Arabidopsis thaliana: one gene and its partner. The protein of the gene in region 2 interacts with the protein of the main gene of each other region in a biochemical or structural test. Each region holds a gene or a part of one and is shown on either strand. Other genes may lie near its edges.

Evidence for each region.
Region 1: of the proteins of CCB1 (region 2) and SOS2, one has a biochemical effect on the other in vitro, tested with the Arabidopsis thaliana proteins (one study listed by BioGRID).

What each region holds. Positions count from the first base shown.
Region 1 is NC_003076.8:13,632,520-13,649,758, reverse strand, and holds SOS2 (Protein kinase superfamily protein), read right to left. Parts: upstream 15,361-17,239; 5' UTR 15,142-15,360; intron 14,844-15,141; 5' UTR 14,827-14,843; coding exon 14,662-14,826; intron 14,576-14,661; coding exon 14,513-14,575; intron 14,415-14,512; coding exon 14,343-14,414; intron 14,258-14,342; coding exon 14,150-14,257; intron 14,053-14,149; coding exon 13,978-14,052; intron 13,910-13,977; coding exon 13,730-13,909; intron 13,606-13,729; coding exon 13,516-13,605; intron 13,413-13,515; coding exon 13,290-13,412; intron 12,779-13,289; coding exon 12,659-12,778; intron 12,431-12,658; coding exon 12,314-12,430; coding exon of another isoform or gene 12,299-12,313; exon of another isoform or gene 12,096-12,298; coding exon 12,039-12,095; intron 11,952-12,038; coding exon 11,877-11,951; intron 11,793-11,876; coding exon 11,697-11,792; 3' UTR 11,384-11,696; downstream 1-11,383. UniProt on the Arabidopsis thaliana protein: Involved in the regulatory pathway for the control of intracellular Na(+) and K(+) homeostasis and salt tolerance.
Region 2 is NC_003074.8:9,807,152-9,822,023, reverse strand, and holds CCB1 (cofactor assembly of complex C), read right to left. Parts: upstream 8,802-14,872; 5' UTR 8,475-8,801; coding exon 8,139-8,474; intron 8,042-8,138; coding exon 7,920-8,041; intron 7,848-7,919; coding exon 7,695-7,847; intron 7,611-7,694; coding exon 7,418-7,610; 3' UTR 7,272-7,417; downstream 1-7,271. Other genes in the region: AT3G26720 (Glycosyl hydrolase family 38 protein), read right to left, coding at 60-155, 237-347, 498-582, 665-777, 888-953, 1,053-1,172, 1,252-1,299, 1,403-1,474 and 18 more; AT3G26700 (Protein kinase superfamily protein), read right to left, coding at 9,668-9,931, 10,006-10,138, 10,225-10,408, 10,489-10,563, 10,664-10,790, 10,879-11,087, 11,205-11,355. UniProt on the Arabidopsis thaliana protein: Required for the biogenesis and accumulation of native cytochrome b6 in the thylakoid membrane. Controls the conversion of apocytochrome b6 to holocytochrome b6. Required for covalent binding of the c-type heme to cytochrome b6.

The DNA of each region.
Region 1 (17,239 bases), on a different chromosome or scaffold from region 2:
ATTGGTCTTCTCGGGAAAAAGATTGAGAGTCGAGGGGGTGAGCTTGAGCAAACTAGGAGGTAGATTCACGAGTGAAAATGGACAGCATATGGTTAGGGTCAAAACGCATCGTGATGGAGTGGAAGGAGATCAGATTTCGCAACCGGATCCAGATGGTATTGGGTCGAATGGCAGAGTACTCATGCTCGAGAATCTAGAGGAGAAGGTGGTGGTGGTGGGTTCTAATCTTGTTTTGGAATTTATCAATGAATTGTCTATTCTGGAATTGCCGGGGGGGGGGGGGGGGGGGGCAATAAACCCACTTTCCGCAGGTCGATTTGTTATATTCTGAAGAAGTTTAGCACAAACATTCTCGCTATTTTTGAAACTCACGCAGGTGGTGATAGGGCGAGAAGAATTTATCATGGCTTAGGCTTTGAGAATTCTTATCAAGTAGACGCAGTGGATCAGAGTGGTGGACTGTGGTTAATGTGGAGATCGGGACTAGGCGAGGTGGAGATAGTTGAATCGGCTAAGCAATTTATTCATGTTAAGGTGGTGAATGAGGGCGATGTGCTCAACCTAATTGCAGTATACGCGGCTCCTTTGGCGAGTCGACGAAGTGGTCTATGGGGTCAACCTCGAGAGGTTATCCAAAGAATTGATGGACAAGTGTTGTATTGGAGGAGATTTTAACACCATCGTTAGGTTGGATGAGCGAACATGTGGTAATGGTCAATTGTCGTTAGATTCTCTAGAGTTTAGGAGCTGGATTAACGAGTTGGCCTTGTCGATATGGGATTCAAACGAAACAAATACACATGGAGAAGAGGTCGAGCAGAACAGACTTACATTGCTCAGAGGTTGGATAGAGTTCTATGCTCAGCCCATTTGCGATTAAGATGGCAGGAAGCAGTAGTTAATCATCTCCCTTTCTCCCCGTCAGATCACGCACCTCTTTATGTGCAATTATGTCCAGTGACAAGAGGAAATCCAAGTTGACATCCTTTCAGATTTGAGGCGACCTGGCTAACACATACCAGTTTTAAAGATTTGTTGGTGTCGTCTTAGCAGGGTGAGTTGAGAACCCAGAGGCCCTAGGAATCTTACGGGTAAAGCTGAAGCAGTGGAATCGTGATGTTTTTGGAGATGTGCAAAAGAGAAAAGATATGTTACAGTAGGAAATCAAGGTTGTCCAAGACCTGTTAGAAGTGAATTAGACAGATACTCTGTTGGAAAAACAAAACTTGCTAATGAGGGAATTTGATTTGGTCCTTGAGTAGGAAGAAGTGCTCTGGTTCCAGAAATCGAGAGAGAAGTGGGTTGAGCTGGGTGATCGGAACACGAAGTATTTTCATACTTCTACCATTATTAGGAGATGCAGGAATCGAATAGAAGCGTTAAAAGATAATGAGGATAGATGGGTTGTGAATGCACATGACCTTGACAAGCTTGCAGTAGACTATTACAAACGCTTTTACTTTATGGCAGACATAGATGAGGTGGTGGATAAGTTGCCTAATGAAGGATTTGTGAGACTATCAAGGGATGATTTAAGGGAGTTGAACAAACAATTCTCAGCTGCATAAGTGGAAGGAGCTGTCCGCGGTATGAGAAGATAACACAGTTTAGGCCGATAAGCCTTCGGTGGTCAAGTTTGTGTTGGACTTCTTTGAGACTTCGGTTTTAGTAGACGAGATGAATTATGCCTTAGTAGTGTTGATACCCAAAGTGGGAAAGCCGGAGAAGATAACACAGTTTAGGCCGATAAGCCTATGTAATGTGTTGTTTAAGGTGATCACTAAGGCCATGGTGATGAGATTAAAGAAAGTGATGCTAAAACTGATTGGTCCAGCGCAGTCTAGCTTTATACCACGCAGATTAAGCACTTATAATATAGTGGTTGTTCAAGAAGCTGTTCATTCGATGAGACAAAGAAAGGGCTCACGGGCTGGATGCTCTTGAAGCTTGATTTGGAGAAAGCTTAGAATGAGATAGGATTTTCTGGAGGATACTCTAGAGGCATCATGTCTTCCGGTGAAATGGATTACTTGGATAATGCAATGTGTAAAGGGTCCTTCAATGAGCGTTTTGTGGAACGGTGAAAAGACGGAGCCTTTTAAGCCTTCAAGAGGACTCCGCCAAGGTGATCCTTTGTCTTCATACTTATTATGTGTATGGAACGGTTATGTCAGCTTATTGATGTCTCTATTGCTAAGAAAGAATGGAAACCAATAAGCCTATCGAGGGGGGACCAAAAATATTGCACATGTGCTTTGTAGATGATCTTATCCTATTTGTTGAGGCCTCTATGGCACAAATAAGGATAATCCAGAGAATCTTGCAGCGATTTTGTGTGGTATCAAGTCAGAAAGTAAGTCTGGAAAAATCGAAATTTTTTTTTTCAGATAATGTGCATCGAGACTTGGTTAAGTTGATGAGTGATGAAAGTGGTATTCAAGCGACGAGAGAGTTGGGAAAGTATCTAGGAATGCCCATTCTCCATAAGCGGATTAATAAAGACACCTATGGAGATGTGTTAGAGAAGATCTCATTAAGGTTAGTGGGATGGAAAGGGAGATTTTTGAGTATGGCAGGCAGAGTCACTCTCACCAGATCGGTGCTAGCATCTATTCCAGTCCATTCGATGAGTACGATTGCATTACCGGGGGCTATAACTAAAAGTTTGGATAGAGTGTCAAGAGATTTTGTGTGGAGAAGTCATACAGGACAAAGGAAGCAACATCTACTAGCTTGGAAAAGAGTTTGCAGACCAAAGATGGAAGGAGGATTAGGTATTCGGTCAGAAAAATCTATGAATAAAGCATTATTGTCAAAAGTTGGATGGCGACTTTTACAGGATAAGGACAGCCTTTGGGCAAAGGTTTTGAGAAGCAAATATAAGGTTGGAGATCCACATGATAAGTCGTGGACAGTGGTAAAAAGCAATTGGTCTTCCACATGGCGTAGTGTAGGGGCTGGTTTACGTGAAGTAATCCTACCAGGTTTAGGATGGGTGATTGGCGATGGTTCTAATATTCGTTTTTGGACAGATAAGTGGTTGGGAGCTTATTGAGAACAGAGTCAGAGATATGTAGCTACGAAAACATGCAGTATGATTGTTTTATTGCTAATGGAAAAATATTATTACTTGTTTTTGTTTTGTTCTTTCTTTTCGTCAAGGCTAAATGCCTAATGGTCAATCATGCAATTAAGTATGTACAATTTTTTTTTTTTTTAAGTTTATCTTGTATATATAAAATATAGTAGGTAGAAATTATTTTTTCATTCCATCAAGTTAATTTGTAAGAATTTACCCCCACCAAAAAAACAAAAGGTAAGTGTGAATAACTTGCTCACATTAGTGCGGATGATGTGTTTAATACATGTAATAACCAACAACTTTTGACGTATTATCCATCTGAAAAAGATGAAAGAGACCTCATCATCTCTATACGAGAGAACGTGTTACCCTAATGGGTATAAATAATACGCCAACCTATGCAAGAAAATCATATCATCACACTTAAATCTTTCAAAACACCTTTAAATCTTTCAAAACACCTTTAGTTCTTACAAAACACCTTTAGTTCTTGCAACACAAATATTATTGCAAGATGATGAACAATTTGTAGAATGTTGCTCATCATGCTCACGCAAACGAAGGTAAATGTCAATAAGATTTAGACAGATCAAGTTATATAATTCTCTAATCTTCCCTCTTCTTCCTTTGTCTAACAACAATTATTATTATTTTCAAGATTTCGTCCAACTTCTTCAAACTTCTAGAAACAATTGGCTTGATACAATGGACCTATCAAAAGTATTGCCATATATTCCAGAATCTATAAGATTGATGTTGTCTACTGTTGTGGTAGATGTTGTGACAGGTGCTCGAGATCGCTTATCTTGGAGTGATAGTCCAGATGGTCGCTTCACCGTGAGGTCAGCACACTCAATCCTTACGAGAGATGAAGTACCACGTCAACAATCATGGAGGATGTTTGAGCGAGTCTAGAGAGTTGTGGTACAAGAACGTGTGAGGATTTTTCTCTGGTTAGTGGTTAACCAAGATATTATGACCAATGTGGAAAGAAAGAGAAGAAATATTTGTGACACAAATTTATGTCAAGTATGTAAGAGTGGCGAAGAGACTATTTTACATGTCTTGAGAGATTGTCAGGCGATGGCAAGCATTTGGAGTCGCTTGCTTCCCCCTAGGCGGTTATATGTGTTCTTTACACAATCATTGCTTGAATGGGTATACAGTAATTTGGGAGAACAAGAACTTGTCGGAGGTTATCCGTGGGCTACTTTATTCGCTTTGGCAGCATGGTGGGGTTGGAAACGGCGCTGCAGAAATGTGTTTGGGGAGAATAGGAAATGTCGAGATAGAGTTCGTTTCCTAAAGGATTCAGCGAAAGAGGTGGTGGAGGCTCACTCGCTGCTTGGGAGTAATCGAGGTAATGTAACTAGGGTGGAGAGACAAATAGCATGAGTTCCGCCAGGAGATGGTTGGCTGAAGTTAAACACGGATGGCGCATCACGTGGAAATCCGGGTTTAGCAATAGCTGGTGGTGTTTTACGGGATAATGAGGGTATTTGGTGTGGTGGTTTTGCGGGAATCTCGGAGTTTGTTCGGCTCCTTTAGTTAAGTTATGAGGTGTGTATTACGGGCTTTTCATAGCTTGGGAGAAAAAGGCTACGCGGGTGTAGCTGGAAGTGGATTCAGATATGGTGGTGGGTTTTCTTAAAACATGGATTAGCGATTCGCATTCTCTGTCTTTCCTAGTACGTTTATGTTATGGCTTCATTTCGAAGGACTAGATTGTCCGAATTACTCATGTGTATAGGGAAGCTAATCGTCTCGCAGATGAATTAGCAAACCATGCTTTTTTGTTACCTTTGGGGTTTCATAGTTTTCCCCTTAGGCCTGATTTTGCTACTTCGATTATTTTTGAGGATGCTAGTAGTGCTACGCGCCCACGGAATGTTCGTGTGTAATTTTTTTATTTTGTTTTTTAATAATATGGGAGACTAGTCTCCCTCATTCTAAAAAAAATAAAAAATTATAATTATATAAAATAGATATAAAATTATTAATTACATAATAATACACACAAAAAATGAATATCAAGAAAAATCTCTCTCTCTCTAAATCAAAATCAAATGAGAGAAGAGAGGCGATACGACGAACGATTGCATCTCTTCGATTCCTACGGCTGTCTCTCGCTCGCCGAGAGTTTTCTTCGCCAGTTTCCGGCGGTTACTTCAGGGATGAATAACGGTAGAACGGTTGTGGACCCCATAACTGCTTCTCAACCAAACCTATTTATACCCTGCGCATGTCTCTGTTCTCGTTGGGTTGATCAGAGTGAAAGTACACAAATTCCTTTGTTCATATTGACAATGGCAGATAATCTCCAACGACAACTGCAAGATATTGCGTTAGGAATACAAGAGGAAGCAATCAATCTCCCGATTAAAATTTGTGATGAGGCTCTTCAGGAAACTCAATTTAGTTTCATTGCAAAACCGGTGAACCCAAGGAAACAAAATCTTCGGGCAATGCTGAGTGCTTTGCCTCGCCTCTGGGGCGTAGGTGAAGAGGTGGTAGGCAGAATTCTGGAGAATCAAAAAATTCAATTCCTTTTCCAATCTGAAGAATCCATGTCCTCAATTCTCCGGCGAGGGCCTTGGTCTTTCAACGATTGGATGTGTGTCATTCAACGATGGACTGCTTTGCATACGGTTGTTGAATTCAAAAGAATCCCTTTCTGGATTCAGATCAGAGGAATCCCACTTCGATTCCTCACCTTGAAAATGATCATTTCAATTGGTGAGCGTATGGGATTGTTCCTTGAGACAGACTTTGGTAGAGATGGCGTGGTCCTCACAGACTACGTACGGGTCATAATCCTCTGGAACATCGAGGACCCGTTACGCTTTCAGAGGATTTTCCAGTTTAGAGAAGAGACATGTGTCTTGAAGTTTTGATATGAGAAACTCAGGAATTTCTGTACCACATGTGGAATGTTGAATCATGATGCTGCTAAATGTCCAACCTCTGGAAATCAGGATCCTCCTCAGCCTGGTGATGATGATGACGATGTTGATAATGATGCTGATGATGACCATCCCGATGTACCAGATGTCCATCCCAATCTGCCACACGATCCAATGAATCAGCAATTTCCCGATGAGAACACTGAAGAAGAGCACCATAATGCTTCCAAAAAGAGGAAAACCAACGCTTCTACTTCTCAGACCGACTATAGCTTTCCTTTGGTGTGTTGTGATATGCGCCAAGCCTATGCAACAGAGGATACCCAACACTGCGTTGCCAAAAGACAGAGGAGAGAATCAGAAGTGCTAGAAGTCTGGAACTGGTTCATGGCACCACATAAAATATCGGGTACAGTACGCAACAACAATGGGAGAACCACTTCAACCACCCCACACACTTACCGAGAGGGCACGGTGGGCCAGAAGCCACCGGAGCCGCCATGAATACAGCGTTTTGGAACTACCGGGGCTTAAAAGGGTCCCTGGTAGTTCGACGCCTCAAAGGGATTAAGAAATCTTATTCCCCGGACTTACTCTCTTTGATTGAGACAAAGAATCCGGATGACGTTGTTCGGGATGTGGCAGCTCAGTTGGATTATGATAATGTGAAGTGTGTGTCGCCTTTGGGCATAGGCGGTGGTTTAGCTTTGATGTGGAAGAAGTCTGTATCAGTTAATTTCTTTTCGTTTGATGCAAGACTCATTGATTGTAAGATAAGTAATAAAGAAGCTTCTTTTTGTTTCTCTTGTGCCTATGGCCATTCGATCAGAAAGTTAAGACATATTCTATGGGAAAGAATTGAGAGAATCACAATACATAGACAAGGGCCTTGGTTAATGTGTGGGGACTTCAATGAAATACTCGATGCCAGTGAAAAAAGGGGTGGTCGTGTTCGTCAAAATTGGAGTTTTGTGGATTTTCGAAATATGGTTAACACATGCAAAGTATCAGATCTTCCATTCACAGGAAACAATATGACTTGGGTTGGCAAAAGGAAAACTCATTATTTGGAATGCTGGCTTGATAGAGCAATGGCCAATGATCAATGGAAAACAAGTGTCCCTGCTTCTGAGGTTGAGTACTTGGAGTTAATTGATTCAGACCATCGACCTGCTATCATTAAGATCCGCAAAACAACAGAACAAGGTACACGCTGCTTTCGTTTTGACTCCAGATTGTGTAACAGACCTGAGTTTGAGTCGATTGTCGAATATGGTTGGAACCATATACCCGCTTCTAGATGCTCTGTTGTAGAACGAATCCGAAACTGCAGATCTCATATATCAAGTTGGAAGAGAACAAACAACACAAATTCTGCTAAACGGATGGCGGAGCTGACTGTGACCATTGATAACGCAAGCACTGACTTCTCTGTTTCAAATGATCATCTCCGTAATCTCAGAAGGGAACTACTACTTTCCTATCGTGAAGAAGAAATGTATTGGAAACTGAAAAGCCGAATACAATGGCTTAATGAAGGAGACATTAACACCCGTTTTTTCCATGCTTCTACAAAGAACCGCATAGCTCGAAATCGTCTACTCTCAATCCAAGATTCAGATGGTAGCGACATCTATGGTAATGGAAACATCGCGGCTAAAGCTGAGAAATATTTTGGGGAACTGTTTAGTAGTTCTAATCATCGAGACTTGACAGCAATTCTGCAACATATCCAACTGGTGGTGTCACCTGCTACAAACGAGCTTCTGTTGACGGATATTACTACAAAGGAAATACGTTCTGCCTTGTTTGCAATTGGGGCAACCAGAGCTCCGGGACCATACGGGTTCACAGTATCTTTTTATCGTCAATATTGGGATATTGTTGGCCCTGAGATAACGAAAGAAGTGAAAAAAATCTTTGAAACGGGACAGATGGAAACTCCATGGAATCATACAAACCTCTGTTTAATACCAAAGATCGAACACCCAAAGACAATGAAGGACTTTCGACCAATCAGTTTATGCAATGTTCTCTACAAGATAATCTCCAAAATATTGGTACAGAGGTTAAAAGCAGTTCTCTCGTCGGTTGTCTCTGAAAATCAAGCTGCTTTCATACCTGGACGTCATATAACTGACAATGTGTTCATCGCCCATGAGGTTTTCCATTCACTACGAGTTAAGAAACGATGTGCAAACGAGTATATGGCGGTCAAAACAGATATTAGTAAGGCGTACGATCGGATCGAATGGAGTTTCTTGGAAGAAGTTCTAAAAAAAAAGGGATTTGCAACTCGCTGGATCCAATGGATCATGGATTGTGTCCGTTCTGTTTCCTTCTCGGTATTGATCAATGGAAGTCCATACGGGAAGTTTTCACCTTCCCGAGGTCTGCGACAAGGAGATCCTCTATCACCATACCTCTTCATACTATGCTCCGATGTCTTAAGTTCCATGATGACTAACGCACAACAGACGGGGAAAATAATAGGAATCCAAGTTAGTAATGGTGGTCCCTCCATATCCCATTTACTCTTCGCTGATGATTCTCTATTTTTCCTAAAAGCGGATCGCAAAAATAGCCTCAATCTTCTTAACATTTTTAAAGAGTATGGGGAAGCGTCAGGTCAGATTATAAACTTTGATAAATCATCAATAACATTTGGGAGTCGTGTCTACCAAAAAACAAGGGATCATGCAATGCAGACTCTACAAATACCAAATATTGGGGGCGGGGGAAAATATTTGGGACTTCCCAAGCAATTTGGTCGAAAGAAAAAAGAAATGCTCCAATACATTTCCGAATCTGTCCGTAAGAAAATAAATGGTTGGCAAAATAAGTTTCTCACTGCTGCAGGGAAAGAGACCCTCATTAAATCAGTAGCTTTTGCGATGCCGGTCTACTCGATGAATGTATTTGCGCTCCCAATGGAACTTTGCTCCGACCTCAATAGTATGATAACGAGATTTTGGTGGGGCACTACGGCAACAAAAAAGAAACTGTCATGGGTTTCCTGGAAAAAAATGACAAGACCAAAGAGAGAAGGGGGTTTAGGATTCCGAGACCTGTACCAATTCAACCAAGCACTACTTGCAAGCCAGGTATGGAAACTGCTACAAAGACCACAAAGTCTGCTCTATAGAATGCTTAAAGCCAGATACTTTCGACATGGGAATTTCCTTAGTGCGTCACGAGGCACGAGACCGTCTTATGGATGGAGTTCCCTTCGGTTTGGATGTGAATTGTTGAATCTCGGGACACAGAAGAACATTGGAGATGGTTACACAACCCAAGTGGGCAATGAGCCGTGACTACCAACCACTCTACCCCGGCCACCTCTGTTATTAGCAACGACGGACCCGAAAACAACGGTTTTGGCTTTACTCTGTCCGACTACATCTCAATGAGATGAACAGAAACTCACCGCACTAATCGATCCGATTGACCATCCAATTATCCGGAAAATATATGTACCCCTTATACCAGCACATGACTCATATGTGTGGAGCTTTACAAAGGATTGCTGCTACACTGTCAAATCAGGATATTGGGTAGCAGCAACAAAGAGCACAAGTGAGCCACCTATCACTCTGCCGCTATCTTCACACCCTGATATTGCCGACCGTTTATGGAAACTAAACATTGTCCCCAAATTGAAGCATTTCTTGTGGAGGACAGCTTCGCTTGCTCTCGGGGTTGCCGATAACCTAAGGCGACGGAACATCATCATCAATCCATACCGTGCACACTGTTGCACGGAAGCTGAAACAGGGAATCACATCTTTTTTTCCTGTCCGCATGCGGAAGCGGTATGGAGGACCACTTGCCTAGACACCACCATACCATGTAACTCGCAAACACCCCTGGAAGACAAATTAAGGTACCTCTTTAGGATTCACGACGATAGGAATGTCGATGAATTACACAGGTACCTCCCTTTTTGGATTATGTGGAGATTATGGAAATGCCGTAATGATCTAATATTCAACAAAAAGCTTATTCCGGCACGGGAGACGCTCGAACTGGCAACAACGGACACTCAGGAGTGGATTGAGAATGTCATTAAACAAGTGAACACAATTCCGGCTCCTCACACACAGAGAACAAGAAGAGATAACTGGCTACCACCACCTAGGGGATGGGTGAAATGTAATTATGATGCGTCGCATCATGAAGGAGCTGGAGCCTCAGGACTTGGTTGGATAATTCGTGATTCCAATGGCTTTGTGTTGGACTGTGGTATGGGACAATTTGAAGGACGAAATACGATAGAAGAAGCTGAATGTACATCACTTATCTGGGCAATACAGGCTGCGTGGGGATTAGGATACCGAAACGTAATATTCGAAGGGGATAATAAAACCATCAACCAAGTTATTAATACGTACGGTGCTCATCTTCGACTCAAACACTACATGGGGACAATACAACATTGGAGAAGTGGTTTCATAAACTCGAAATTCTGTTTCACCCATCGTGAACAAAATGCCTGTGCCGATCTATTAGCGAAAAAAGCTATTTTAGGTCCAAATCTCTGGTCTTTTGTATCATTCTTGTCCTGTATTTTTGATGTCTCTTGTAAACAATGATTATGACACTCGTCACTAATAAAGGTTTTAGAAGGAAAAAAAAAAATGAATATCAAAATCAACAAAAAACCATAACCAAAATTTTTTCCAACAATTTTAAAAACAAAAACCCATGCATGTATGTTCATCTAGTTTTTAAAAAAATAATACAAGTGTATATACTGTACTTTGTATATATTATCAAAATGCATGCAAAGATATGAAGATAAAATAGTATAATATTAGATATTTAGAAAGAAATCAATGTACCCCCTTATGCTTTAAGGGACTCATATTTATAATTTACATTAATTTGTTAATTAATGTACTAAGCGCTCTTAAAAGTGTTCGCTTTGATTCTCTAATCAATGTTGTAACGTCTTCATTTGAATTCCTTTGAACCCTTCATGGGCCTCCGAATGCTCGGCCCGTTACCCATTCTCAAACTCATCTCCTTTTCGCTCCGTTGTACAAACTCTTCGGTTCGCTCGGCTTCAACTATGGGCTTCGGTCGAGAGCATGTCCCGTTGACCGTTGTCTTGTTGACTTTTAGGTGGCAAGCTTCGGATGGATCCGAACACATAGTTCGAGATTCGACACCAACAAAAATAACGATATTAATTTGAGTATTAGATTGAGACTTGTGTTATGTATGAATTGATGTTTGTGTTATGAAATGATATTACATGTATCATGATCATATGAGTTAGCGACTTTAAAAATCAAGGTTTATATAGTAAAATATAACCAAAAAGAACCATAATTTAGTTTAATTAATTTGGGTAGAATTTCTCTAATCCCAAAAAAAAACCCGACAAAACCCTATCGAAAGAATCCAAACCAAATGCTCTGCCTAGCTTAAACTCGTATAGTCTTGACTAAATAAAGGCATAAAGCTCATGTAGTCTAGTAAGCAAACTCATATTGGATGTGTTTTGTTAGTACATGTCTTCGCAGGACAAGTTTTGAGAAGTATTGCCATACACAGAGAACAGAGGGATCCAAACCAATGGCCAAAGCAAACTACAAGACACAATCAAATTAGAATACTAGCTCAAGAAGCAAATCTTCCAATCTCCCTGAAGAATAATTAGGTCATTTATTACACAAGTGTACATTTTTATTGGATTTAAGTTGGGATCAAAACGTGATTGTTCTGAGAATCTCTGACTTTGGTATTCCTTCTGTTGCCCTCCATATTATGTTTTCCAGTTTCGAACATAGCTTCTTGTAGAACTGCGATACCACAAAACAAAATATCACTCTAATCCGCAACACAGTAATGATGCAACTATTGTTATTGGATATATATTTATAAACCTTGTGATATTCAAGAGTTTCACCAGCAGCCTTTCTTACGTCTACCATGAAAAGCGATGGTGCCACCTCGTAAATCTGCATGTAGGTTAATTTCAATTTGCTAGATACCCTTAAACTGAAGCAAAGCAAACTTATATTACAATCACAACAAGCAATAATTACCTCTATCACAACAGCTAACTGTCCGGCCTTGATCGAAGATAATCCCTCGAGCCTTGTCTGTTGAGCACATAGACGTAACAAATCATAACAATTGTACTCTCTGCTAACATTAAAAATGATAATTCACACTAGGACTTTCGTTTTTGAACGCCAGAGATATAAACTAAGTTTCCTTGTCAATCTTATCAATCTATCTACACATGCGTTTAACAGTTGAGAGTTTTAAAATAATGCATAATCTCTGTGATAAGTGTAATATGCTAGGAATTCGTTACCTTGAAGTTTCGTGTATGAGACTTAAAACCCATTGAGTTCGCTACAGCCTCAATGTTAGCAATTATCTCACTAGGTTCCCTTCGAGAAACAAAACGGGTTTGCCTTTTAACAAAATCCTGCGAGATCAAAGGATCAGCCATCAATATGCAGGAACATTTTGGATTCCATTTGTATCTACTAATGCCATGCAACCAATCATCTAATGAACTTATAGTTATTATAACAAACTAAGAACACAGCATCATAAGGCAGTCAAAACGGGCAGTCTGAAGAATAGATGCTACCGACATTCTTTTATTCGAAATGGAGATCTCTATGACCAGTAATAGAAAATCAGGTACTACCTGTCGCCTGTCAAATAGTGCAGATAAATTTAAGCCTTGTGATAAGGTAATCATCTCAAAGGCATTCATCATCAGGGGCCCTTCATCATTTCTCTCTACATTCTCCGCTACATAACTGCCCTGTGAACAAGTGCAATTGACAGGTCAACTTAATGAAAAACAAGTAAAAGTAACTTTAGCTAAGACAGATACTGAGGTTTTAGTTTAACAATTGAAGTACAAGTTTTAGAAGAGCAAGAGCCTGAGTTTAAGTAAAACATTCTAAATATGCATTAGAAATTACGGTATCTATATATATCTAGGCTATACCAAAGCTAAGACAATCTTAGCAGGAGATATATATTGATAGGTACATGAACATTGTAATTAGCCCTAGGGGTATTCTGGATTTTGTCTAGGGTTTTTGGTCGAGAATAGAGAATTCTCTTGTAAATCTAAGTCTTCCTAAGGTCTATGGTTTGGCGAATTGAATAAAGAAGCAGTTTACAGGTTTGGTAACTAACACATGCCTACTATTTTGTTCTATCCTGTAGCAAACACTTCTTCTTGGTCATCCAAACGTTCCTAAGAGATCTTAACATTTAAATGGAATTGACCAGCAAAGAGCATATAATGAAGGCGAAGCACAAACCTCAATTCCATCAAAAACTGCACGAATATCATCCAAATTCACTTCTTCTTCTTCCCTTGCTCGTATAGGCACATAATTTAATCTGAACCAAGGATCTTTCTTGATTCCTTGAATTTGAATACGCTGCTCTAATTGAGAAACAATAATAGATAAACAGATATAATTACTAGAACATTAAATATCACCAAAACCTGATAGCTAGGAGAGAACAAAGCAAAATACTCACTGTTTTGGGATTGGGGTCAAGTATCCTATGTATTAAAAACTTCACTTCTGCGGAAAACCACGGTGGACAAGAAAACTCTGCTGCATTTATCTGTAAATAACAATGTGTAAAAGCTCAAAACTAAGGGTGAAATTGCAAAACCAAATCAATAAACGGTTTGACAAAAGCCATGACAAGGAATTCATGATTTCTTCCCGAAAGATATGTTACTTACTTTTCTGTACAACCCTGGAAGATCCGTCTCGGAAAAAGGTAAATATCCAGCCAATATAACGAAAAGAATAACCCCGCAAGACCAAATATCAGCTGCTGAACCATCGTAACCCTGTCCACTAAGTACCTCTGGAGCTACATAGTTCGGAGTTCCACATGTGGTACGCAGAAGTTCTACTCCCTGATTGAGTATATAACAAGTTAATGACCACGTAAGCAGACTGCTGAAGCAGAGATAAGAGCACTTACTTCCTGAGGCAATGCACTGAGTCCGAAATCCGAAACCTTCAGATTTCCATTTGTATCGAGTAAAAGATTTTCTGGCTAGATAACATAACATAGCGACACAAAAATATCAAGTCTGGATTGCAACGCAGTGAGATATTCTGAGGAATATTGGTAAACAAAAACACGTCTTTACCTTTAGGTCACGGTGGTAAACACCCTTGCAGTGACAATGAGCAACAGCATCTACAAGCTGTTGAAAGTATTTCCGAGACTCACTTTCTTCAAGCCTCCCTTTATGAACCTGCATGAAAGATTTCATATATTAAAAAATTAAGTAGAGAGGTTTTAACTAATGGACGCTGCCTACAAGTATGGAAGTTCCGTACAATTCTATCAAAGAGCTCTCCTCCTGTCACAAACTCCAAAACTATATATATTTTCGAAGGACTCGCCAACACCTACATCGGGAAAATCACAAAAAAACAACAGAAGAACAATGATGCAAAAACACTTCAGAGATAAAATTTCGCAGATGCATGGAAACAAACAAACATACCTCATACAACCTCACTATGTTCGGGTGACGAACAATCTTCATTATAGATATCTCTCTTTTTATCTGTAAAAGAGCTTTAAACGAAATCAAAGATCATACCATTGACGCAACAACCTTAGTTTCCATGTAAAAAACAATCCAGAACATACCTGATCAACCATTCTGTTCTTAAGTATTGTACTCTTAGCCATAATTTTGATGGCTACATTATCACCAGTGTCTGTGTTCCTCGCAAACTTAACCTTAGCAAAGGTTCCTTCACCTATTGTGCGACCAACCTCGTACTTGCCCACTCTTCTCATTTTCTTTGTCATTCTTTACAAACTTTTATCTGATCCATTGACCACAAGCTATCAATCAGATTATTCAGAGACTTAGTAAAAACCTCTTTCCTTAAACGTTTATGATTTCGATTTCAATTACTTTACGTATTGTTTGCTAATTTTAGCTCCTACACATCCATATATACAAAATTACTCTGTATCCATAATTTTGATTTCGCAGCATAAATCAACATAAATTCGATCAAGGAAACGACGAAAAGGTAAGGATCAAGATCATAATCAATATATAAAATTCGTACGGCTGGAATTGCGATTGGGCGTAGTCGAAAGAGAATCGTGAAATACCAGAATTGGATTCGCAGAGAAGGGTTGATGAAAGAGGCGTAGGAGAGAAGGAAGGCTCGTGATGCGATTCGCGAAAGCCGTGAATCGTCGATGCGAACGTCCGTGCAGATCCGTTGAGCATTTCGGGTCGGGTTATTTGACTGTACCCGTATACGACCTGAATTAGTCGTTCGGGTCAATTATCCGTTTGGGTGATTAAACTTTTAAAAACTAACATTGCATTTTGAATCTTTCAATTTAATAATTGTGAGGTTTTCAAAATTTAAAAAAGAAAAAAAAAACTAATCTAATATCACTTATCAATTTAGTAAATTATTTTTAAAAAATAAACATATAGTATTTTCAAAATTTATTTTAATTTTTTTCAAATTATCTAGACTATGATTAATCGAACTCAAATTAGTAAAATTTTCTATTTTTAACTACAAATTTTTAACTTCATTTAAGTCAAGCAAGGTTCAAAAAAACCAAGAGAACAAGGATGTCTAAGTTTAAGACAAAGCATACAAAGATACTTTCCAATGCTACAAAGTGATATATAAAAAAGTTCGATAAGGATTCGTGAGAGTTTGGAAACAAACACTAGGGAAAAATTTGGCGTAAGTGATAACACGGTTTATCGACGGTTCATTCACAAAGCAATGGTCAAAAAGATGGTCACGGTCAATATACTAGGTGATGTTGAAGAGGCTTTTATGGCCTAGATTTTCGCCGGCACGAGAAGAGCTTCATCAACAAGGAAGAGGACTATGGTTCTATAGTCGGTTGGGATTTGCTTTAAAGGTTCAAGATCTTTTTTAAAAAGTTTGAAAACTTCTTGATAGTCCTATAGTCGGTTGGGATTCACATTAAATGTTCAAAAATCATACATACAAAGTAACGATGACAATGTCAATGAAAAATTGGCAATGAAGATGATAAGAAGGAATACAAGAGCAAGAAAATAATGAATGTGAAGAGAAATATGAAATGTAGGTGTTGGTGGCTAATTGAATATAAGAAAAAATATTGATAAGAATGAAAAAGTATTACAGTAATATTTTTGCATTATTAAAAATAAAAATAACTATACATTAGTACTTTTGCATTATGTTTTTTTATATAAATAACGTAAATGAAACTTACAAAACAATTCCGTTAAAAAGTTATCAATAGTAATTTTTGATTATTAACTTATGATCATATGTAGGGGTGTCAAAATGGGTCAAAATTCATGGGTCAACTCAACTCAACTCAACCCATGAACCCTAATGAGTTGAAATTTTTGACTCAAATGAGTTGATGAGTCAAATGAGTTGATGAGTCAATTGGTTTGATGAGTAAAATGAGTTAGGTTGTAATGGTTAATGGTTTCCATGGTTTATCCAATTAACCCATCAAATTTTGTAAAATTGAATAAAACCAACTAAAATCTCTAAACCAATGCCAATTTAGGTTTAACCAACACATCTAAACCAATTTAATAAAATTAATATTTTTCCAAATTTCTTAAATATACAAGCAATGAAATTGAGAAAAAGTAAACTCGTAATTTTTCCACCAAAAAACATAAATCCGTGATTTTCCCGCAAAAAAAAGTAAACCCGTGATTTTCTCGCAAAAAACGTAAACCCGAGATTTTCCCGCCAAAAACGTAAACACGAGATTTTCCCGCCAAAAACGTAAACCCGAGATTTTCCCGCCAAAAACGTAAACCCGAGATTTTCCCGCCAAAAACGTAAATCCATAATTTTCTCGCCAAAAACGTAAACCCGTAATTTTCCCACCAAAAACGTAAACCCGAGATTTTCCCGCCAAAAACGTAAATCCATAATTTCCCCGCCAAAAACGTAAACCCGTAATTTTCCCGCCAAAAATGTAAATCCCGTGATTTTCCCGCCAAAAACGTAAACTCGTAATTTTCTCGCCAAAAAACGAAAACCCGTGATTTTCCCGCCAAAAACGTAAACCCGTGATTTTCCCGCCAAAAACGTAAATCCGTGATTTTCTCGCCAAAAACGTAAATCCGTGATTTTCCCGCCAAAAACGTATACCCGAGATTTTCCTGCCAAAAACTTAAACCCGTAATTTTCCCGCCAGAAACGTAAATCCGTAATTT
Region 2 (14,872 bases):
TGTGGTCAAACTAATAAAAAACCGTCTTTGACATGTATACAGTACACAATCCAACTAACCTGGAGGGTGAGTAATGCGACGTTTTTTGGTAATGAATATGACGGTTCAAACGCTGAGAATGTCGTCTTATGTGAATTAATCCAACTATCTCCTTCCTACAAAAAAAGTACCTTATCTCACTTCACTATCTTATAGAACTGGAGGGAAGTAAGTATTTTTTTTTTTTTAAGAGCAACCTGTTCTGTGAATGCTATAAGTAGTGGAGAATAAATTTCTTGACCAAATGTTCGACGCCATTTTGCCCCATCTCCAGGTTTATCTATCTGTACATAAAACTTCCCTTGTATCTGCAAAACAATTCAGAGTTACCATAACGGTTATAAGACCAACTATAACGATTTAATACCACCTTGGAAACAAGCTCTGTCACATGTTCCCTTAAAAGCTGATACGTTGCAACTTGGACAGCTAAAAATGAGATGAGAACTTAAGCTTACCGTTAATCCTTTGCATCCTTCAGGGAGACAGACTGTTTCATTAAGAATCTCACCAACACCTCTAATGTCATCATGCTGCATTCTCCTACATGAATGAAAAAAAGGTGAAATACAAGCAAAACAACATATGCTTGTCTTGGTTATATAGAGAAAGTTAGTTGACAAACCGATGAAGCATCAACTCGATCTGGCCGTTCTCTAAGCTGGATCCACCTACAGCTCGATCCACCAACACGGATAGCTCTGAGGTTTTATCTTGCATGTATATCCCGAGATTTAGCTGGAAGAAAATATATATATTAGACAAAAGGCCAGATATAGTGCAGCTCAGTCTAGTACAAGACCTTAGTACACCACGAGAAGGAATCTCAGATGGGTTTGATGCCTTACAGGATAATAGTTCCCAGCAACCGGTTGGTACACTTGCAAGTCCCAATCTGTTCTGAAGTCCCGAATCTGCAAGAAAATGTAACAAAGTATGTTACAATAAAAACAAAATACCCCTTGTTACAAAAATAAAAATAAACTACTTCACATGAATTTTGCATCTAATACCCGCTTGATGAAGTCACGGCCATTCGAGTCTGTGTAAAATGTTCCATTTGTCTTCATGGTGGTTGTAAGTTTAGTGATAATCTCTTTGCTAATACCATCATCAGCTGGTATAGGCCCAATCTAGAAAGTAGGAAATTAAAATACTGAAATTTCTCTTCATCAGTTTAACATGAAGAATTGTGAAAAGAGATCAACTCACTGTGAACTCAATTTCAGCATGGTTTTTTCCCTTGTACACTCTGGTAATCTGCAAATTAACAGACCCATCACAAGATGGATCAAACAGTTATAGCTTCTGTGATGTAATTAAACTGTTTAAGAGCATTAACTAGTTGCAAAGAGTTTATAACCTGTGATATCCAGGAGTTAAGCTCCTGGTGCACTTCATCGAACAAAGGTCCTTGAACAATAGTCAATTGAGCCTGAGTCAGGCTAGACAATTAGTTTTTCTTTTGTGTTTTCACATACTGTCGGGAAATAAGGTTATAGATGCAGCTTATATGTATTACCTCTTCTTTAGATTTAATTGGAAGCACACCATCTGGTCGAAAAACGTAAGCTCCAGAAGCCTTATAAAAGTATATGAGAATGGTTCAGACACACATCAAAATGATAGCTAAGTAGATAAGGTTGTATCTGTTAAAGAGCTGAGCTACCTGAGGATCCTTGTCAGTTCCATTGCTTCCAATATAATAAGCATATGACTGTTCTGCAGTAACCTTAAAATCCACCAAAAATCAACATCAGATGATGTTTACATATCCGAATGGAAAAATAGGTAAGTTAAGATATAAAAAACACAGGCACACCTGATTTTTGGTACTTAAGTGACGAGTTATTTTAACTCCTTCTTCTGAATAGCGTAACTTTAGATTTCCCTGGCCAACTTCTACATTTTGATTCATGCTTCCAGAAGTAACATATGATGCAGATAGTCCACGCGCTTAATCAAATTAGAAAACGAAGATGTAATTAAATACATAACATCCGTTGGTATCAGTAAGGAAGTTGCGGCTAGTAGAGCTAAAACATATGCAATTGTATTCAAGATCCTATAACTCATAATAATGTTATGACACAATATTACATATTCTGAAACATACCTGTTCGTCCAGTGTCTGAGATTACATACGAGCTGAACCCAAGAGGTGGTACTGAAGCTGTAAATGCAAGCACGTGTTTTGCAGTATCCCGTGGTGATCTTCCCAGATACGCTTTGACATACTCATTTCTAATTCTCAAAGCGATTTCTGAAAGAGGTAGAAGCTGAAACACGACTTCTTTCCCAGATGCATCTTTCACAATAACATTTTCAGACGACACCTAAAGAAGTTATCAGGTAGATTTGGTAAATAATATTGGATAACAAACAAAGATAAAGTGAGAACTACACTGGTCAACCAAGTAGATAAGAAAATACTTACAGGAACTCGGACAACTTCTTCTCGTTTCCATCCTAGAGAATTGTAAACAACAACCACCTACAAGGAGAGATCAATGTGAACAGAAGATAAAAACTAACCAAGAGGTCCAAGGCTTCATAGACTCAAAGGAAGCCTGTCTGCTAGACTTACCAGGCTTTTCCCGCTCAACAGACGAGCTTCAGATGCAGGACAGTAACTAATATTAAGCAGGGGACACTGCCAATATGAATATAATGCACAAGATAAGAATCAGCTTAACATAGATTATGATAAGTTTTGGGAACTTGAGTCATTCAAGTCATGAAAATGCTACAAAGCAGCTTACTAAAACTTCTTTGTTGCCTTAAGCAACAGCATCATTTGCGGAAGCGATATTAATAACCACTCAAATTCGATATCAATGTCTTTTCAACTCTTCCAACACGACCAGTAATATTGGAATCCTGCAAAATCTTAAAGCACATTACCTGCTGAAATTTTGTGCCAGGATTCTTCTTTTCAGTACTTGATTTTGCTGCTGATAGAAAGGAAAGGGAAGAGGCAACCAATTTCTCGGCCTAGTAATGATCATGGAGAAATTCTTAAACTGCTATGCCAACAAGAAACACAAAAATTGCATGAACAACACATGAGATGCCTAACTAAAAATCACCTGCAGGTAGCCCATTGAGAGTCTAAGAGCATAATCTGCAGCCACATGTTGTCTTTGTGTACCACTAACTGCATCATGGTGTTGAGCAATTGCCAAAGCATCGGCTAGCATATCAGTTGTTGGTCCTGAACTATCCCTTCCTCTCAAGAATTCCAATTGTCGAGCTGCCTGTTTGAAAACAGATAAGGCCGTGTAAGAAAAGAGCAAAATATAAACCACAAATCTATGAAATTTATATAAAATAATTGTAGGCCATACCAGATAGTAACCACTTAAATCCCTCACGTATTTCTTAAAGGCTGGCCTGCTCGTAAAGTACCCTGTCCAGTATGCATTAGGTTTGTCCGCATACCTGACACAGGTACATGTATTATTTATTTGATCAACATGCATTTTGCATTTGTAGAAAGTAAAACCCGAGCTATCAAACTCACGGGAAGAAATCATCAGTCTTTAGGGGCCAGGACTCGTTTGCAGCATATTTTGCATCGGTGTAGATAGATGGTGTCGAATACAGAACATTGAGACGCCCATCCTGGATTGTCCAAAGAACAAGAGAATCAAGATTGGTATTTCTCTTACCTTGAGACTAGTGAAATTCAATTGATATGAGTATGCTAGTATGAAAATCCAGTGTACCTTGTTAACATAATGAATAAACTTGTCTATCTGTCTGAACCACGAATATGCATACTGGTAACGGAAGTCAGTTCCCATTAACCACATTATATGATTTGTCCTGGTCACATTAACCTTGAAAAGAGAAATCCAAGTCACATCACAGCAAAGCTTCTTTTCTATTAGCTAATTTCAAGAAAAAATGGATATGATCTTTACCTGTGCGAGGGCTGCTGCTACAAAGTCGTTGACTCTTTCTTGAACATTGTAGTCAAAAAGGAGAGGATCATCCTATATTCAAGATGATTCATCAGTGCACGTTCAAACAAAGTTCAAAAACAGCACAGCCGGTTCAATTGCTTTTACCTGGATAGGAGCTGATACATCATTTATTTCAAACGTGAACCCTTCAGGAGGGTCATAATGTCTTGGGAATACACCAGTAAATATCTACAAGTAACATCAAATAGCAATGAGACAAAGCCAGCTATGGAAACAGCAGAATTATAATGTGAGGTTTAACGGTTTAAACCTGTGAAGAAGAGCCAAGAGACTTGGAACCTTGCCAAATAACCTCAAGTGTCTTCTCTCTTAACCTCTTTGCACGATCTTGGTAGTCAATTCTAGCGAAAAACAGCGAATCAAAGCCAAACTGTAGAAGAAACCAAAGGGTTGTCCGATCAAAATAACTTAGAGCTGATATAAGCTAATCATTCACATACTGAACTCATCTAAACTCACTATGAAACGAAAGGAACAAAAACGATGAACAAATTATACCTCAGCACCAAGCAGGTAAGCTTGTACTGCAGAATGTCCAAAGGGATCAATCTGCCAACCAACTCTAGGAACCTGACCAAACTCAGTTTTAATAAACTGATGGCCTAATGTAGTCTGATCAATCATGTCAATATAATGTGGAGTTGCCTCATCATGCATACACATTCCACCATTTCTACAAAAACCACATATCAACACAAACAGATACACACAAGTCATCAAAACAAAAAAGGTAAGAGATCAATCAAACTCACATGAACTCAAGTTGACCAGAGTCAACAAGCTTCTTGACTTTAACTTTCTTAGCATTGCTTTGTTGCCTCCACCATCTTTGAAAGAAAGCCTAAGAACAATACTAATTTCATCAAGCAAGACAAAAGAAAACTCCGGATTTGGTAATATCTGAATCTTACCATTTCAACATAAATAAACTTTCTATTTTCATCATCAAGCAATGAAGCGATTACAGAATCCAATACATTCTGAACACAAGCTCCCTGATTCAAATCAAATTGAGAACAAAAATCAAATCCCTAAAGAATCCATGGAAAGAGACAGAGAGAGAGATGTGTGAAGAGGGAGAGTACCCTAATGGAGTTATTGGAGCCTACGTAGTACTGATCAACGGTCTTAAGCCAACCTACATCGTCGTGTGAGTGAGGAACTAAGTGAACATTGATTTTCTCAGGGACGATTCTCGGTTTTGTGTTGTACTCTATGTACTCGGAGGTGACGCCGCCGATTACAATCGCCGCCAGAATCAGATAAAGAGAGAAACATTTGACCGCCATAGACGCGAGAGCTTTACGGGAGAAGAAGATGAAGATGATACAGAGAGGTTCGTGAAGAACAATGTGTAGAAGAGAGACAAGTGTTTTTGTAGAGGACGAAGAAGAGAGAGAGGCGCGTGAAGAATCACTATCATCACTCTTCTTCTGATTATTTATTTAAATTAAATATTTGTCTTAACTTTATTTGTATTAATGATTTAATTTGGATTAGACTTTATCTTATCCACTTCCTAACTAAAGAAGAGACGATATAGATAATTAAATTCTTAATTTAAAATTAAACACTGTAGAGTTGCTTGTTGGAGAAGTGATAAAATGGTCCATTTAGATTATTGCAAGCCGAATCGAATGATTGCTAATGATTTTTTTTTTTTTTTATATAAACACAGTATCATTTAAGTATCTTTGTATTAATTATTCAAGGTGATATACGTATATTAATAAAAAAATAAAAAAATGTCTCTACAAATTAACAATTCATTTATATCATAAAATAATAAATATTCATTTAGAGATAACTTATCACTATAAATCAAAATATTTTGATTCCAACACTATTAATTTAACAGAGATTTTACTAGATTTTATTTACGGTTTTTTATTAGACTGACAACCATTTCGATACGTCAAAAATTTGTGGTCGTAACAAGAGAGAGTCAAAGTTTAGTATTGATCACGTGAGTGAAGAGAAGAAAGAAGAAAAATTAAGAAACAATTGTATATAAATACTGAGATTAGACTTGTAATTAGTTTTATGCATTGTTTGATGAATGTTTAGTAACGTATGTGTCGCTTGTGAGAGAGAGTTATGAATCGGTGATGTGCCGGTGGCTCAATCTTTTGTGAAACGGTGTATCGGAAGTTAAGAAATAGAGATTACGTTTCTTATTCTTAACAAATGGTGCGGTGAGCGTAGATCAAACACGCGACCTTCAGATTTTTTGTTAATCGAGTAAGGTTGAGCTCAACCCAAATAGAGGTAAAGCCCATTATTAACTTAAACATATATGTCCGTCTAATTACAACACTATGTGGTAATTTGTTCTCTTCACCTCGACCTAATCATTTTTTAATTTGTAAGATTCTTTTGATTAACTTAGATAAATTTATGTTAGGTTAACCATGATGTCTACAAAGTTTGTGCATCATCTGATCAAGATCATACGAGTTACTAACTTTGAAAACCAAGATTTATATAATAAAATACTCAAATAATGTAACTATTTTTATGTTTTCAATATATAATTAACATTTCAAATAAAGATGAAAATAAATTCTATAATTTAATATTAACAAAAAGTTATATGTTGTCAATATATAATTTAATATTAAAAAATATATAATTTAATATTAAAAAAAAAACAAGTTCCACTTTCTTTTTCTAGTTTCTTTTTGCCAACTCTACATCTTGGTGTTTTACCTTTCATAGAATGTATTATGTTTGATCAAGTCTTATTCTCATGATTCTTTTTTCTTTTTTTCAATCGTGTTTTAACCTCTTATTAGCCTCCATAACAAACTTATACTTATCTCCACGTATTCGTCTCTACTATTGTTGTAATCATTATACCTCACTCCGGTCAAGATATAGCTTTGATCCTTTGAACATCATGTGTTCAAGAAAATGTGTCAAACCTCGAGCATCTGAAGGATCTCGAAAAGTTCCAAAACACATTTTAGATGTACACTTAATGCTGTCATTATTTCAAGTCTCGATCACCAAGATTTTTGAGTTGTTCTCAATGGCATCGAAGTATCCATATCTCCCATTTCATATGTACATATAATTCGAACTCATCATTGATGGCATATAGTACTGAACAACCTTGGCTTTGGGAATCATGGACTAGCCGATCACTCAGGAAGACCATACTTACTAATTCTTAGTAAATTTGTGGCTTTATTGTTGTCTTTGGTAATGAAAAAATGGATTTGGACTTTCAAAATAACAAAATTGCTCAATCAAATGAACTATATTCAAATCGATTCGTTTAGTATGAAGTATGGGAAATGAGTTAAAAAGTCATTAATCTCAACCTTAATAAAACAAGTATAGACACATTCCCCAAAAGGCAAAAATGGGAGGCTAAAATGTTATCATTATGATGATCTCTCAAAGAGACCTTTGACATAAACCATGCCTTTCTCATTAAGCTGAAGCTCTTTCCTCATTTCTTCGACCTGAACATCATCTCCTTGAACCACAATCTCATCCAATCTCCCTTTTGATCCCACCATCATCTTCACTTTTATCTCCTCTTTCCTCGACGCCTTTTTCCAGTAATACACTCCTCTGCAACACACACACACATACAAAATAATCACCATTTCATTGACAAAAAAACAGTCTCAGAGACCTTAAAGAGAGAGAGCTTACGCGAGTGGACTAAGGAGAATGATGAAGAACCAATTGTTTCCAAAATCAGGAACTGTAATGGTTAAGACAAGACCAACACTTGCTAAGCTTATACATGTACAAAACGTAAGCAGAGCAGCTTGTCCTCTACTTGGAACCATCTTTCCTTCAAATCTTTTTATCAAAACAATGTCAGTAACAAAACACAGAAACCCAAATGAAAAGTTCGAGCTTTTTGTAGCTTACGTGATTGTTTCTCCACGATCAGTGATATTGAAATTCTTCCTTGTGAAGAAAGATAGAATCTCTCCAGCTACTTGCTTTGGCTCCTTCTTGACGTCATTAACAACAAACGTCTTTCTCACTATCTACAAATCCTCAACATTGCATTCAAGCTTTTTCAAAATCGAAGAAATTGGGAATTGGAAGTGAAATTTAGGGTTTTGTAATTAGTAAAGTTCGAACCTTTGATTTAACAGAGCGTTTGATTAGAGACCAAAGACCAGGAACAGAGATAACAAACAAACCCAAAGACGTATAATAGCTAGCCAACGAATAACCACCAGTAGCCTCCGTCATTAACAGTAACGAATTAGGGTTTTGTTCCCACCATTGATGAATCTGAATTGCTGAAGAAGAAACAACAGAAAGTGGCTCCACAATCATGGCCGTGACAGCAGAGACTCTGTTTCTCTTCGTGACCATCCATTCTCTTCTCCGCCGTGGAAGCCCTTTGATTATCACCTCTCTTGAAGTAACCCACGGACAAGACAACGGCGGAGAAATCAGCTTCGTCGCCATTGTCAATAGAACTAAAAAGGCTTTCTCTTTGGCTAACAAAAAAAAAGCTTAAACCTTTACATGATGGGTCTATCCAAAAATCGAATGGCTCACATTTTTTCTCATTTTAAAAATATACTTTTAACGGTTTTTAGTATTTATGACAAAACATTAGCTCTGTTTCTTTCTTCTATGTATGAACTAAGAATCAACAATCTCTGGTTTTGTAATTTCTTTTCTAAGCTTTTCAATCACTACTGTGTTTTTGCTTCTGTGAGGTCAAAATCTGGAAGGTAATAATAAATGTGAGACCCACCAATTTAACGAGTTAACTATCTACAGAAGAAGAGTCTTTATCATTAGATCTTCAATCTCTCCCGACATAAAATCAGACCAAACATGATTTTGATTTTGCAATCTGTTCCAAAGACTGTTTGTTTATAGTTCTGTGTGCCCACAAAGGTTTTTTAGCAAAACTAGGGACAGAGTAATAAATCAGAGCATTGAGTTTATTTTCACTAGTAGCAAATGGAGTATGTAGGAACTATACTAGTCCAAGACCAAGAGTGTTGTTATCCAATTGGAATCTTTGATCAAGACTTTAGAGACCAACTTGGTTACTATATCTCCCCTTTGGCAATAAAGGCTATCAAAGCATAGGTAGGTTGAAGCTAAAGGTCAAAATCTTTCCCAAAATTGGCTACTTTATAGGAAAAAGTAGCTCTGAGTTTTTCTGTACAAACATAATAATTAGAGTTCTTCAGACAGGGAGTTATCACCTTCTGTTAGTTCAACAGTTAGCCAATTGGAATCTTTTCATCAAAACTTATTCAACCAACCAACTTGGCAATAAAGTCTTTCAAGCTAAGTTCAAAGCTTTTGTAGAGAGTAAAATGTAACAAAGAATCACACAACATTCCACTCTTTGCTTCCTTTATATCAATAAATAATGTTTTTACAAAGTTATACTTTTCTGCACTCATTGTCAAAAAAATAATTGCTGAAAATAATAACCTCCAAAGGAAGTGAAAAAGGAGGGAAAAAACAAACAAACAATAAGCTTCAGCTGTTCTTTATACACTTAACACAAAACAGCTGATCAGTCTTCTTCTTCTTCCTCCTTAAGTTCTCTGATTGGTTCTTGTCTCAGAGAACTTATATAATATATATATATATATGTATATATATGTAAAAAGATGGTTCCTTTATAATAATCACTTGGTTGCTTTAAAAAGCTGACTTCCAAGAGTAACAGTTGGAGTACCTTCACCCATTACTGTTGTTAAGCTCACTTCTTTATCCAATATTCTTTCAAGCTCTGTCACAACAAAACTCATTGTTGGTCTCTTCTCACTTGATACATCAACACATCTTAGTGTCAATGTAATAAGTTCCTCAACTCCTTCTGCTGTGTATGTACCTCCTAGTCTCTCATCAATCATCATTGGTATATCTGCGTAATCCGTTAAGTTTTGCATCTGCAACTCCCAATGCATACAAAATGAGAATCAAAATAGATTACATTGGCACGGTTTTGAGTGTGATTACATACCCAATCGACTAGAGTTTGCGTTGAGCTTGAAGGGGATGGTTCTGATGCTTCTCTTCCACTTACTAATTCCAAGAGGAATACACCAAAAGCATAGACATCACTTTTCTCTGAAAATCTTTTGAACTCTTGAACCCTGAAAAAAAAAGGGGACAATCTGAGAAACTTTGATACTAAAAAGAAGCATATGAGAGCTTAGAAGGTGAAATCTTTTTAATTTACTCTGGGGAGAGGAAAATCTGGTCTGCAACAATGTGAGACGATGTACCAACATCCTCTCTTCCTAAGAAGTTACGGACTCCTGCATCCGCAACCTTAGCAATGAAATTTTCATCCACAAGAACATTAGCGGTTTTGAAGTCCTTGTGTATCAACCGAGGACTCAACGAGTGAAGATGTGCCAAGCCTAGAGATAACAAAAGGGTATATGCAAGATCAGGACACAAGCTAGAGCTGGCTTCAATGAGGATTTTGTAGAGGATTTACCTTTAGCTGCTCCTATAGATATTGCAAGCCTATGTCTGAACTCTAGTCTATTACCAGGTACTTTACCACCAGCACCTAACAGAGGAAAAGACCTAAACGATGCTTACATCGTCCAAACTCATTTCTCAAACTGATTAAATACCAAATGAAAATAACATTAAGGACAGAGAGTTACCGTACAGGTGACTGGAAACACTTCCATTAGGAACATACTCGTAGACAAGAAACTGTGTGTTGCTTTCTTGGCAAAACCCCAAAAGAGTGACGAGATTACGGTGATGGATAGACGATAGATAACGAACCTGAAGAAATAAACCATATCCTCTCAATCAATACACTTGGTCTAAGAAGACTAAAAGCAAACACTTGAACAAGATTAATTATAGAAACCTCGTTAACAAATTCTTGAGTAGGCAAACCAGGTCTTTTCTTGATAGCTACAAGAACACCATCTTGAAGCAAACCTTTGTAAACCTCGCCGAATTTGCCAATACCAATAAGACTTTTATTGGTAAAACTCTTGGTGGCTTGAGCAAGTTCCTCCATTTCAAATCTTCTAGCTTCTCTCATTGACAACTCAATTGCAACATTTCTTCCTTCTGAACTCACACAAACATATAACAAAAGAAAAAAAAGTCTAAATCATTTTGATATCATCCAAGAAAGTCAATAGAGAGAGAGAGAGAGGAATAGAATTGATGGGATTTGTGATTTACCTTGAGTAGATGGATCAGAAGAGCCAGTCTCAGAAGTTCTAGACAGATTCTTACGACGAAAGACACAAAACCAAAGGAGAAAAACAAACAAAGCAATCAATGCAAGAGCTCCTACAGCACCACCAATGGCAGCTGCAAGAATTGCTGACATTTGGAAAACAAAACTGCCTTCTCTCTCTCTTTCTCTTTTCCTCACCGATGCTCCAAGCTTCTACTACCATGCGATAACCCTGGAGAGAAAGAATAAAACAAGAATGTCGGCGAAAAGAAAAAAAAAAAAACAGAAGAGACAGTTTTAAAAGCAAACAGAGGAGCTTGAGAGGTAAAAAAAGAAAAGGTGTCAACTTTGTAAAAATCAATCAATCAACATGCAGTAAGTATTTTTTAAAAGAACCTTGACAGATCTCCAGAAAATCTCAACTTCATCGGCGATTAAATATCACACAAATTCAACAAAATCGATGACGTGATTCCCCACATTCTTTTTTTTCTCCACATTCAATGAAAAAAATTCCTTATATCGGCAGATTCAAGGAATCAAATTATTTTTCTAATCAGAAACAAGAAAGCTTGGTGTGAAAACGGAACAGAGAGCAATGGAAACATCAAATCAAACCGCCGCAGTTTCTTCTAGAACAACTTGAAGGTAAAAGGGTAAGAAGAAGAACAAGAAGAAGAAATCAAGTCTTGTGTCGGAACGCAGACAATGCCGACAGAAAGTGACATCGTTTCAGACAACAACTCTCTCTCTCTCTCTCTTTCTTAAGACTCACCGAAAATTTTTTACTTACTTAACTAAGAATCAACAACGGCAACAACAACAACAAGAATCAAACTTTTTACTTTGGTTAGTTTTTACTCTTGTGCAACTACCAAACCCATTTGTTTAATTTGGTGAAAAAAAAGGAAGGAATAAAAAAAGAGAACCTTTGAAGACAAGAGTAGAAGCAAGTGGGGTACTTGGCCAGTTTGCAATTACAGCGAATGGGAACTTTTTTTTTTTTTTTAAGAGAGAAGATTCAGAAGGAAGAAACTTAAGACCGCCGCCGTGAAACGTAGTTTCCGCCGCCGCAAGTTTTGAAAGGAGACGAACAAGACCACCACTCTGTCTCTGCCTTCTTCTCTTTTCTTTTTATTTTACTCCGCAATTCTCTCTGTTTATTTTTTCTTTTTTCTTTTTTCGTATGTGTCCTTAAAATGGTTTATTTTTATTACTTTAATAAATGTGTACTTCAATATTAGACTACCAAAAACAAAACAAATAAGATTGTCAATAAAAATTTATTTTTCTCATAAATTAATAAGCAACCAATGATAGATGGGATTCATAACTACAGAAATTTATAATTCTTTAGACTTCATATTTTTGTTTAGTCAATCAATCACATAATTATATTGGAATCACAGCTTTTTCTGCACTATCCTATTATTCTTATGTTTATTACAAAAATATAAAAGGATTATGTCATGTCATAGATTTACATTTAGTTTAAAACCTTTATTTCTAATATTTGAAATATTGGCATAATATTCAGTTTAGGAAGAAGAAGAGCTTAAACTTGTTATAACTCTTATCAGTTGATTTGTTAATTCTAAGCTTAATCTAAACATTAAGAGTCAATTTATTAATGGGAAAAATGTCAATTAATCCCCCAACTTTCAAACAATGATTATTTTATACATCAACTTCGTATGCGGCCGTTTAAAACATGAACTAAACGTTGACTAACTTTTAAAACATGATTATTCGTTGACCAGGCCAAAATAGACATGCCGTTATCAGTCATTAACGGAACTTCTAACATCCGTTATCATCCGTTAACGACTTTATTAGTCAAGTTTTAAATTGTGGCCATTTTAAACACCGACTTTATATGTGACTATTTTAAATATGAACTAAGCGTTGACTACCATTTAAAACATGAGAAATTCGTTGACCAAGCCAAAATAAACATGTTGTCATCATTCATTAAAAGAACTTATAAAATTCATTATCACTTGTTAACGACTTTATTAGTATCCCTAAAACGACTTTGTTTTGAGAATAATCAAAAGATTCTAAATGAAACCCCAGTTCCCCAAATCTATTTCTACAACCGCTCAAACAAGACGAATAATCTTATAATGAGTCTTCAATTTGCTTCCATGATTCCCTTTAAAATTTAAAACAAATATATAAACGAAAACACCTTTATTTGCTTCCAATTACTGGCACTGCGATTATCTCTTTATCAAACTATGTTCTTGGGTTCTGCTTAAAACTTTTGATATGGAGATTTTATATGGAAAAAATCTTTGTGTTCTTTCGATTATTCTCAAACGACGTTGTTTTGGACAGATTAACAGTCATTATTTCTAGGTTCTACTGATAAAGACATATCTATTTTGGCCTGGTTAACGAATTTTTCATGTCTTAAATGGTAGTCAACGTTTAGTTCATGTTTTAAATGGCCAAATAAGAAGTTGATGTTTAAAATGACCACAATTTGAAACTTGACTAATAAAGTTAACGGATGATAACAGACGTTAAAAGTTCCGTTAATGACTGATAACGGCATGTCTATTCTGGCCTGGTCAACGAAAGATCATGTTTTAAAAATTAGTCAACGTTTAGTTCATGTTTTAAACGGGCACATACGAAGTTGATGTATAAAATAACCATTTTTTTAAAGTTGGGGAATTAAATGACATTTTTCCCATTTATTAATCATATATTTGTAATTTAGTAAAATCTAAGTTTAGTAAAAGAATTTTTATTTTATAATTCACCATTTTAATACAAAATTATAATTAACAATGTTATAAATCAAAATAGAATATTTAATTATGTTTCATACTAGTGTTTCTGATTCTTATAGGTAGATGTCACATGACTTACATCTTAGACTGCTACTAAATTTTTTATTTTTGACATGTTATACTGCTACTAACTAAAACATAAATACACCAACAATAATAGCAAAAAGAACTGTAGTTTTAACTAGTACTATTAGAAAGCAAATTAAAAAATTAACCCTTTTGTTGTTATTAATGACAAATAGATATATCCAGCGAACAAACATTCATAAAATATTCTTTTATAAATAAAAAATTCAACAAACTCACTTTTTTACAAAATAAAATAATTAATTTAGGACCACAATTCCTCACATCGACAGAGTAAAAAAAAAATGGTGGGGTCATAAGCCAGCTGTATCGACATACATTTCCTTCTTCTCTCTGACGCTAACTTTTCAAAAACTCACATTTCCACGATCTGCGTTTCGCGTTTTTCTATGTTTTGTTTCAATCTGCGTTTTAACGTTTCTCTTGACTTTTTTTTTTTTTATTCTCTTCTTTTTTTTTCAAACTTTTTTATTTCGTTCTTTTAAAAACTAGAGAATTTTGAAATGTTTAGAGTTTTAGACCAATGATTGAAACGGCGGTCGTGGTCATCATCATGAATAAATCATACAAAATCGGAAATGATTGAAAAAGTGACTCAAAAATTAAATCAATCATAGTCTTCTGCACCAACCGTCTACTTCAATTTAAAAGGCCCATTTTAGGCCCAATAAGTTGTTTTTAGTTGAACAACTGGGGACATTTGTTCTACACAGAGTGAAACTTAATGGGCTATCTAGCCAATTTGGTGGGCCTGTTAAGTATTTTAAATTTGTTTGTGGTGA